2 linked regions of the Rattus norvegicus genome follow. The protein of the gene in region 1 purifies or fractionates together with the protein of each later gene. This does not show direct contact. Links are inferred from orthologs where the notes say so. Each region holds a gene or a part of one and is shown in the gene's direction. Other genes may lie near its edges.

What was found.
Region 2: the proteins of Akirin2 (region 1) and Ipo9 purify together in Homo sapiens (affinity purification with mass spectrometry; 3 studies listed by BioGRID and IntAct, counting the BioPlex papers as one, with this or other methods). This does not show direct contact. The link is inferred for Rattus norvegicus from reciprocal best matches to the Homo sapiens genes AKIRIN2 and IPO9.

Annotation. Positions count from the first base shown.
Region 1 is NC_086023.1:53,916,780-53,919,518, forward strand, and holds the end of Akirin2 (akirin-2), read left to right. Parts: intron 1-298; coding exon 299-448; intron 449-1,149; coding exon 1,150-1,221; coding exon of another isoform or gene 1,222-1,247; exon of another isoform or gene 1,248-1,404; coding exon 1,405-1,415; 3' UTR 1,416-2,091; downstream 2,092-2,739. UniProt on the Homo sapiens protein: Molecular adapter that acts as a bridge between a variety of multiprotein complexes, and which is involved in embryonic development, immunity, myogenesis and brain development.
Region 2 is NC_086031.1:49,411,549-49,415,830, reverse strand, and holds the start of Ipo9 (importin-9), read left to right. Parts: upstream 1-1,353; 5' UTR 1,354-1,401; coding exon 1,402-1,564; intron 1,565-1,872; exon of another isoform or gene 1,873-1,970; intron 1,971-4,282. UniProt on the Homo sapiens protein: Nuclear transport receptor that mediates nuclear import of proteins, such as histones, proteasome and actin. Serves as receptor for nuclear localization signals (NLS) in cargo substrates.

The DNA of each region.
Region 1 (2,739 bases):
TTTTTTTTTGTTAAAGATTTGTTTTATTTTATGTATATGAGTACACTGCAGCTGTCTTCAGACACACCAGAAGAGGGCATTGGATCCCATTACAGATGGTTGTGAGCCACCATGTGGTTGCTGGGAATTGAACTCAAGACCTCTGGAAGAGCAACCAGTGTTCTTAACCTCTGAGCCATCTCTCCAGTCCCAGATAACAGATTTTAAGTTACATGGGGAAGTTCTCTCAGTGAGACCTTCATTCAGGAGGTATTCTGTGGTACTAAATCAGGTGATCTTTTATTCATGTTGTACATAGGGACTTCATCTGCAACATCCTCACCATTAAAAAAAGAACAGCCCTTATTTACTCTAAGGCAGGTTGGGATGATCTGTGAACGTTTGTTGAAAGAACGGGAAGAGAAGGTTCGAGAAGAATATGAAGAAATACTGAACACAAAACTTGCAGGTAACAACTGAGTTTATTTTTGAAGATCCCAGTGTTTGTTCTGTTGCTGTGAAGAGACACCATGACGAAGGCAACTAACTCACTCTTAGGAAAGAAAGCGTTTAATTAGAAGCTTGCTTCCAGTGTTAGAGGGTTACAGCATGGCAGCATACAGATAGGTACTAACACGATACCTGAGAGCTACATTCTAATTTCACATCCTACCCCTACCCCAGTGATGCACTTCTGCCAATGAGACCACACCTCATAATCTAATTCTCTCAGAATTCCACTCCCTGGTGACTTGAATTCAAATATGTGAAACTCTGGAGTCCATTCTTATTCAGATCACCACACCTAGAAGCTCACTAAGAATTATTTCCTACAGGTGTTTTTACATTGACATATCTTTCTATACATTGGTAGTCTTGTCTGTGGACCAGAGAATTTCAGTAAAAAAGGAGAATTAACATTCTTAAAGCCCATATCTCACCTTCATGGTCCCAGGTATGAGGTAGCCACGTAGATCAGCTACGGTATTAAATTTTTATTTTGCATCATGTGGAAAACACTTATTTGAACTGTTTACAATTACTATTCAGATTGTGAAAAGGATTATGGTGTCAAGAGTCTTCATGTTCCTTTATATTTTCCGATACATTAGAGAGGATATTTAATATGTACATGCAAGTCATGTAATTTACACATACCTTTACTTATAGAACAATACGATGCATTTGTGAAGTTTACGCATGATCAGATAATGCGGCGATATGGAGAACAGCCTGCTAGTTGTAAGTATTTGACCTTTGAACTATAAACAGAAAAGACCATGTTTTCATATTTAAGAAGAGAGTTGATATAAAAAGTGTGGAGAAAAGGTTAGTTTAAAGCAAAAGTAAAGTGTTAGGAAGGAATGATCTTGTTTGTTGTAATTTTGCGCTATCAGCTATACTAATACTCCTTTTCTCCTCCAGATGTTTCATGAATCACGCTTTTTGCATTTGTGGGCTGCCTTGTTCCTTGTTGAGTTGTTGCAGGAGGTCCCAGCTGTGACATACAGCAATGCCAGCGCCCATCTGTGAACCAGGTTACTTCAAGCTTTCGTCAGTGGCAACCACTCTTAGGCAGCAGCAATTGGTTTTGGAAATTTCCGTGATGTCATTACCACCCGGATGTGGACCTTTGCTACTTGTATTAATACCAGTGGCCTCGTTTTGCTGTATCATTACAATTTGGCTTCTTTATATTAATGTTTGAAAGGGATTAAAGCTGGCATTCTAGAACATGCCCTTCACTGGTTATGTAAATAAAACTGTAGAATGACACGTCAGATGAAGTTAGTGTGATTTTAATTGTGCACTACAACCAAGCTGTAACCAGTTATTAATAACTTAGAATGTAATCCCAGGACATTTAAGCAGTTAGTCTACAGTACTTCAGTGAGATGGAGGAAGAGGAGGAGGAGGGCATTTCTGTATTTCAGGACTTTTCTTGGGGTTTCAGAATGGGTTTATATGATTTCCTTTATTATTTTTTGGTAGTTTTATTTATTCTATCAGTCTTTTTAACAAATGTTTATTGCTGCACCCCTCCCCCAGTGTATTATTGTTTTACTGCCCTTGTAGCACTGGAGTTTAGTTGGAAAAATAAAACATTTACTTCTATTCTGCCTGTTTTCAAATTGTACACATGGGTAGTATTGGAATAAAGTAGTGTTTTTAAACGTAAGGATTTTCTAGAAATCAATGAAGTTAATTTCTGGTAGTATTTGCCTTTTAAATGCTGTTGTCAGAAATTAAGTTCTGATTCAGAACTGCTTCTGTAACTTGCTGTATAACAGCATAACAAGTTCTAAAACAGCTGTACAACTTCACCTTTGAAGCCAGTTTTGATGGTTTGAATGATGTGATATTTGAAAGCACGGTTGTTCTGGTTGATGTGATAAAGTAACTGCAAAAAGCAGTTTAGGGTATTAAGTGTTTATTTTAACTCAAAATTCCACATTGCAGTCTATCACTGTGGGGAAATCAACAGGAACTTGAAGCCACAAGTAAGAGCAGAGAGAGAAGCAATAAATGCATACTACTGAGTTTAGTGGATAGCTCCACTCATTTTCTGGTTGGCTGTCTTCCTAATTGGTTAAGGCAGTTCAGTCACCCACAGACACACCCACAGGCTAACCTGATCTAGATGAGCCTTCTTGGAATTTAGGAAGTCATAGGTACTGCTGAGATGACAGAACTAACATAAGGGCTGGAGAGAGGCTCAGTAGTTAAGAGCTCTGCTTTTTCAGAAGACCCTGGTTTGGT
Region 2 (4,282 bases), on another chromosome or scaffold:
GAAGCAGCCGGGGCCAGGACCTCAGCATGGCCTTCTCATATCCCCCTATTCCTCACAGCCTTTAGAGGTAGAGCCTAGTTCTACCTCTCTTTACAGTGTATGAACCCCTCAGCTTGGTTTCTCCTCCATCTGCACCACATTCTCTCTCTTTCCCATCACACATTCATTCATCATAGTGCCACCCACCACAGGTGCTTGACTGTCTTTCTTCTGGCCTCCCCCAACACTTTTTTTTTTTTTTTGGTTCTTTTTTTCAGAGCTGGGGACCGAACCCAGGGCCTTGTGCTTCCTAGGTAAGCGCTCTACCACTGAGCTAAATCCCCAGCCCCCCCCCAACACTTTTTTAAAATTAAGTAATGTTATATATTTGCGGGATTCACTGAGTAGTCACATAGAGAATCAGTCTAGAGCCGTGTGTGGTGGCACATATATACACCTGTAATCTCAGCAGTGGGGCAGGTGAAAACAGGAAGATCAAAATCCGGGAATTCAAGGTCAGTGCCAGCTACCGAGCAAGTTTGAGGACAGTTTGAGCCACATGTGATCTTGTCTCAAAAACAAGATAACGACAAATAGGTAGATTTTTTTTTTCTTAAATCATTCTAGAGAAAGGCTGCTTTACATGTAGGCACTCTCTCCTAGACAGCCACTTTTTGACATTGGGTCCATCTAAGCTAAAAAGCTAGAAAACTGGCTTTTTCTAAAGTGACCACTCCCCATTGCCAATTTCACTTAAGTTTTTCTGCATGTCCCCTTTTCCCTGTCCTCTCCCTCAGCGTCTTTGGATCTCTAAAGCTAAAACGTATGAACGGACCCAATTGAATCATTGCAGTTTTTAATTGAGAGGAGGGGTGTTGGTTTAAGGAAGATGCTATTCTGACCCCCTTCCTTTAAAGCTGGACCTCTGTCCTAACACGTCTTAAATCTGAGCCTAGAATAACGCTGGAGGAAAGGGGTGATGGGAGCGGGGGAAAAGGCATCTCTTCCGTGCCCACTACAATCCATTGCAGACAAGGGGCAGGGCCTTCTGTGCCCACGCCCTCGGGGGTACCTTACCCGGCTCCCTTGCCATCGGGGTCAGCTCTACTGAGCTGCCCAGTTGGAATAAAGGTTAAACGCCTTTATTCCAAGCGCGTTTGCTAACAGCGCGTGCGACTTCAGGACTACAAACCGTTATGGGAATTCTGTGTGCATATACGTCCGAAGCGTGCTGGCCCGCAAAGCGCCGTTCGGTTCCGGCAGCAGAAGGCGCTGTCTCGGGAGGCTGCGACCTATCCCCGCCCCCCGCCCGCTCCCGCCTACTTAGATGCGCAGGCGCGGCTTCGCGGATTGGCCGTCAGCGGGAGCCGTCATTCGGTGGCGGGTCCCGGCCGCGGGGCTGGCGGGCTGAGGGGAGGAAAGATGGCGGCGGCGGCGGCAGCTGGTGCGGCTTCTGGGCTGCCGGGTCCAGTGGCACAGGGATTGAAGGAGGCGTTGGTGGATACCCTCACCGGGATCCTGTCCCCGGTGCAGGAGGTGCGGGCGGCTGCAGAGGAGCAGATTAAGGTGCTGGAGGTGACAGAGGGTGAGTGAGGCGGGACCGTCACGAGGATGGCTCGGACCAGGGCCGGCCGCACAGTCCGCTGACCGCAGGGATTTGGGGATCCTTAGCCAGGAGAGAGGTGGGCGTCAGGAGTGGGTTAGGAAACGGGGGTGGGGGTGCCGCTGGCGGCCGTGAAAGTCCTAGAAGAAGGGTGGCGCGTCTGAAACGAGAGGGTCCGGGGAGGTGGAGCCTTAGCGGGGATGGGGTGGGTGAAGACTTGAAAAGATAGATAGTGGCTGGGTTCTGCAGAGGACAGAAATGGAGTTCGACGTGGTGCTGTCGATGTCGCGCAATCTGGATATTTGAGACCAAGACAAGATCTTTTGCCGTTTTCTTCTCCAACTCGGTTCTAGTGGGATCAAGGAAGGGAGCTAGAGAAGTGCGAGAGGTAAGGCCCTTAAGAAGGCGGCCACCATCAAACAAGTTTCCGTATCAGAGTTTTAAATCTGGCTAGTTGTTCAGACACCTCTTGTTTTCCTAGAAATCAACTCAGTTCGATGCATACGATGCATCACTTTCCCGACCATCCTTTCCGTTTTATTTTTCTTTTAAAGACTTACTGGCAATTATTGAGTACTGTGCATTTCTATGTACAGGAACGGTTTTTCCTTTGTTTTAGATTCTTTGTTCTCATCCTTCCATTATGTCCTTTTAAAGTGTTAGAGAAGAAACTATTTGACGTTTTCTTTTAATTTCCTGTTTAGTGGGCTTTCAGCAGGCCTTTTTTTTTTTTTTTTTTTACAAAGAAAAAGGGTAAAATCTCCTTGGTCTTTATGTAAGAAACCTATCTGATTTGGAATTCCAGATCCTCAGATTCCCCAAGTTCAAGGGAATATTTTCACTGCTCCTTAAACTTAGGCTTCTTCAGAAATATGGGAGATTGTTTCCATATTTGACCAACCAACCCCAAAACCTTGAATTAATGCTCCTACGGGACTTATTTTTATTGAAAAGAAATGGATGTGGTGGGGGGACCTCCTTTGAACTTAGTTTTTATATTCTTTTATATGACCCAACCATTGAAGGAAAGTTCCCTTCTGTTGGAACTATTGGGATTCGGGATCTAATAGGTTAAAGACTTTTCAAAGGCCAGGTGTAGTTTTATAACATACCAGACTCTCTTAAGAGAAGGAGCCGTGGATGGGAGAAAGCCATTGGAAAGCAACACATAACTTGACCTGAGGTTTCCCGGTCATGTTCCTTGACTTTACAGTTCATACCTCTGCTCCCTCAGTATAAGGAAAGAAAGCTGATAGGCAGAAACCTTACTAAACTTGTTACTTGCATTTAGTTGCTGGATCTGATGCAAACCGATCCTTAATCAAACCTTCTATGAGTAATACCCAGTGTTTGAGCTAACTCCCAAATTGACACCTTGCTGTGAAAGGCGGGCTTATGTTTAAACTGTACAGTAGCTCTGACTTCTTCCAGCTCTGGCCAGATGCTATGGCCTCCTCTACGGCAAAATCAGTTATAAACTTCTTGAAATCATTTTGAAGTTCTTGTCGCCTACTCTTGTTGTCCTTTGGGGTCTTGAGATCAAAAGTACAGAATTTTGAACTAGTCCACTGGTGAATAATCTGGTAAAGGCCACCTCAATTCTTCCTGTCCCCATAACCTACTGATAATGTGCTGAGTGGCATGCTGTGAGGCAGGGGGTAAGCTCTGATAGAATAACAGGAATGGTGGCCTAGTAGTGAGGCATATGACTCAAGTATAGAATGCGGTTAGAGTTAGATCAAACCTGGAGTTGAATATAGTATATTGGACTCTTCAGTGGCTTTAAAATAGTCTTGTCCCCCTCTGTACCTGTTTTTAGTTAGAGGATAGTGGTTCATTCCTTAAGACTTTTCCAGGAGTGGTCTTCAACAGTAATCTCTCCCATTGGGTCACAGGCATCTCCAGTTGTACATACTGGCTAGCTCTCTGAGATACCTTCTAAACGTAAGCTAACAGCTTCCTTAGCTGTGGCCCTTCTGTACATGAAACAACAGCATCTGGTCTCCTAGGAGGAGTTCACGAGCTTCTTAGAGTGTCAGGGAATTGTCCCTGTAATGAAAATCTCAGTGGGACAAAAAATAAGGAGCCTTTCTTTTTCTTTTTTCTTTTTTTTTTTTTCCTTTTTCTTTTTTTTCGGAGCTGGGGACCGAACCCAGGGCCTTGTGTTTGCTAGGCAAGCGCTCTACCACTGAGCTAAATCCTCAACCCCAATAAGGAGCCTTTCTTACAAATGACTGAAGAAATGATTTGCGCCCTTGGAATTGCCTTTCAGTTCTAGTTTTATCCCAGAAGGATGAGCCTTGCTTTCTGATCATTTAAAACATCTTCCTTACAATCTGAAGTTTATGAGAGTTGGTGTCTTATTTTTGTGTTTTGGTAATTTTCTATGTCAATAGAGCACAGGGTCAAGTAATTTATCAGATCTAGTCCCTCTACCCTCCCGCTGTGAGCCATTTGCTATTGCCTCACATAAACATCAGACACTGGACCCACATGGATTATAAAATTTTAGGTTTTTGCTTTTTTGTTTTTCCTAGCTGTCCTTGAACTCAATCTGTTGACCAGGCTGTCCTTAAACTCAGAGATCCCCCTGCCTTGGCCTCCTGAGTGCTGGGACTAAAGGTGTACACTGTCACTGCTAGTTGTGTGCCTTGTTATTTTTCATTAATGTCTGGTGTGTGCCTTTCTTAGCTGCCAGCT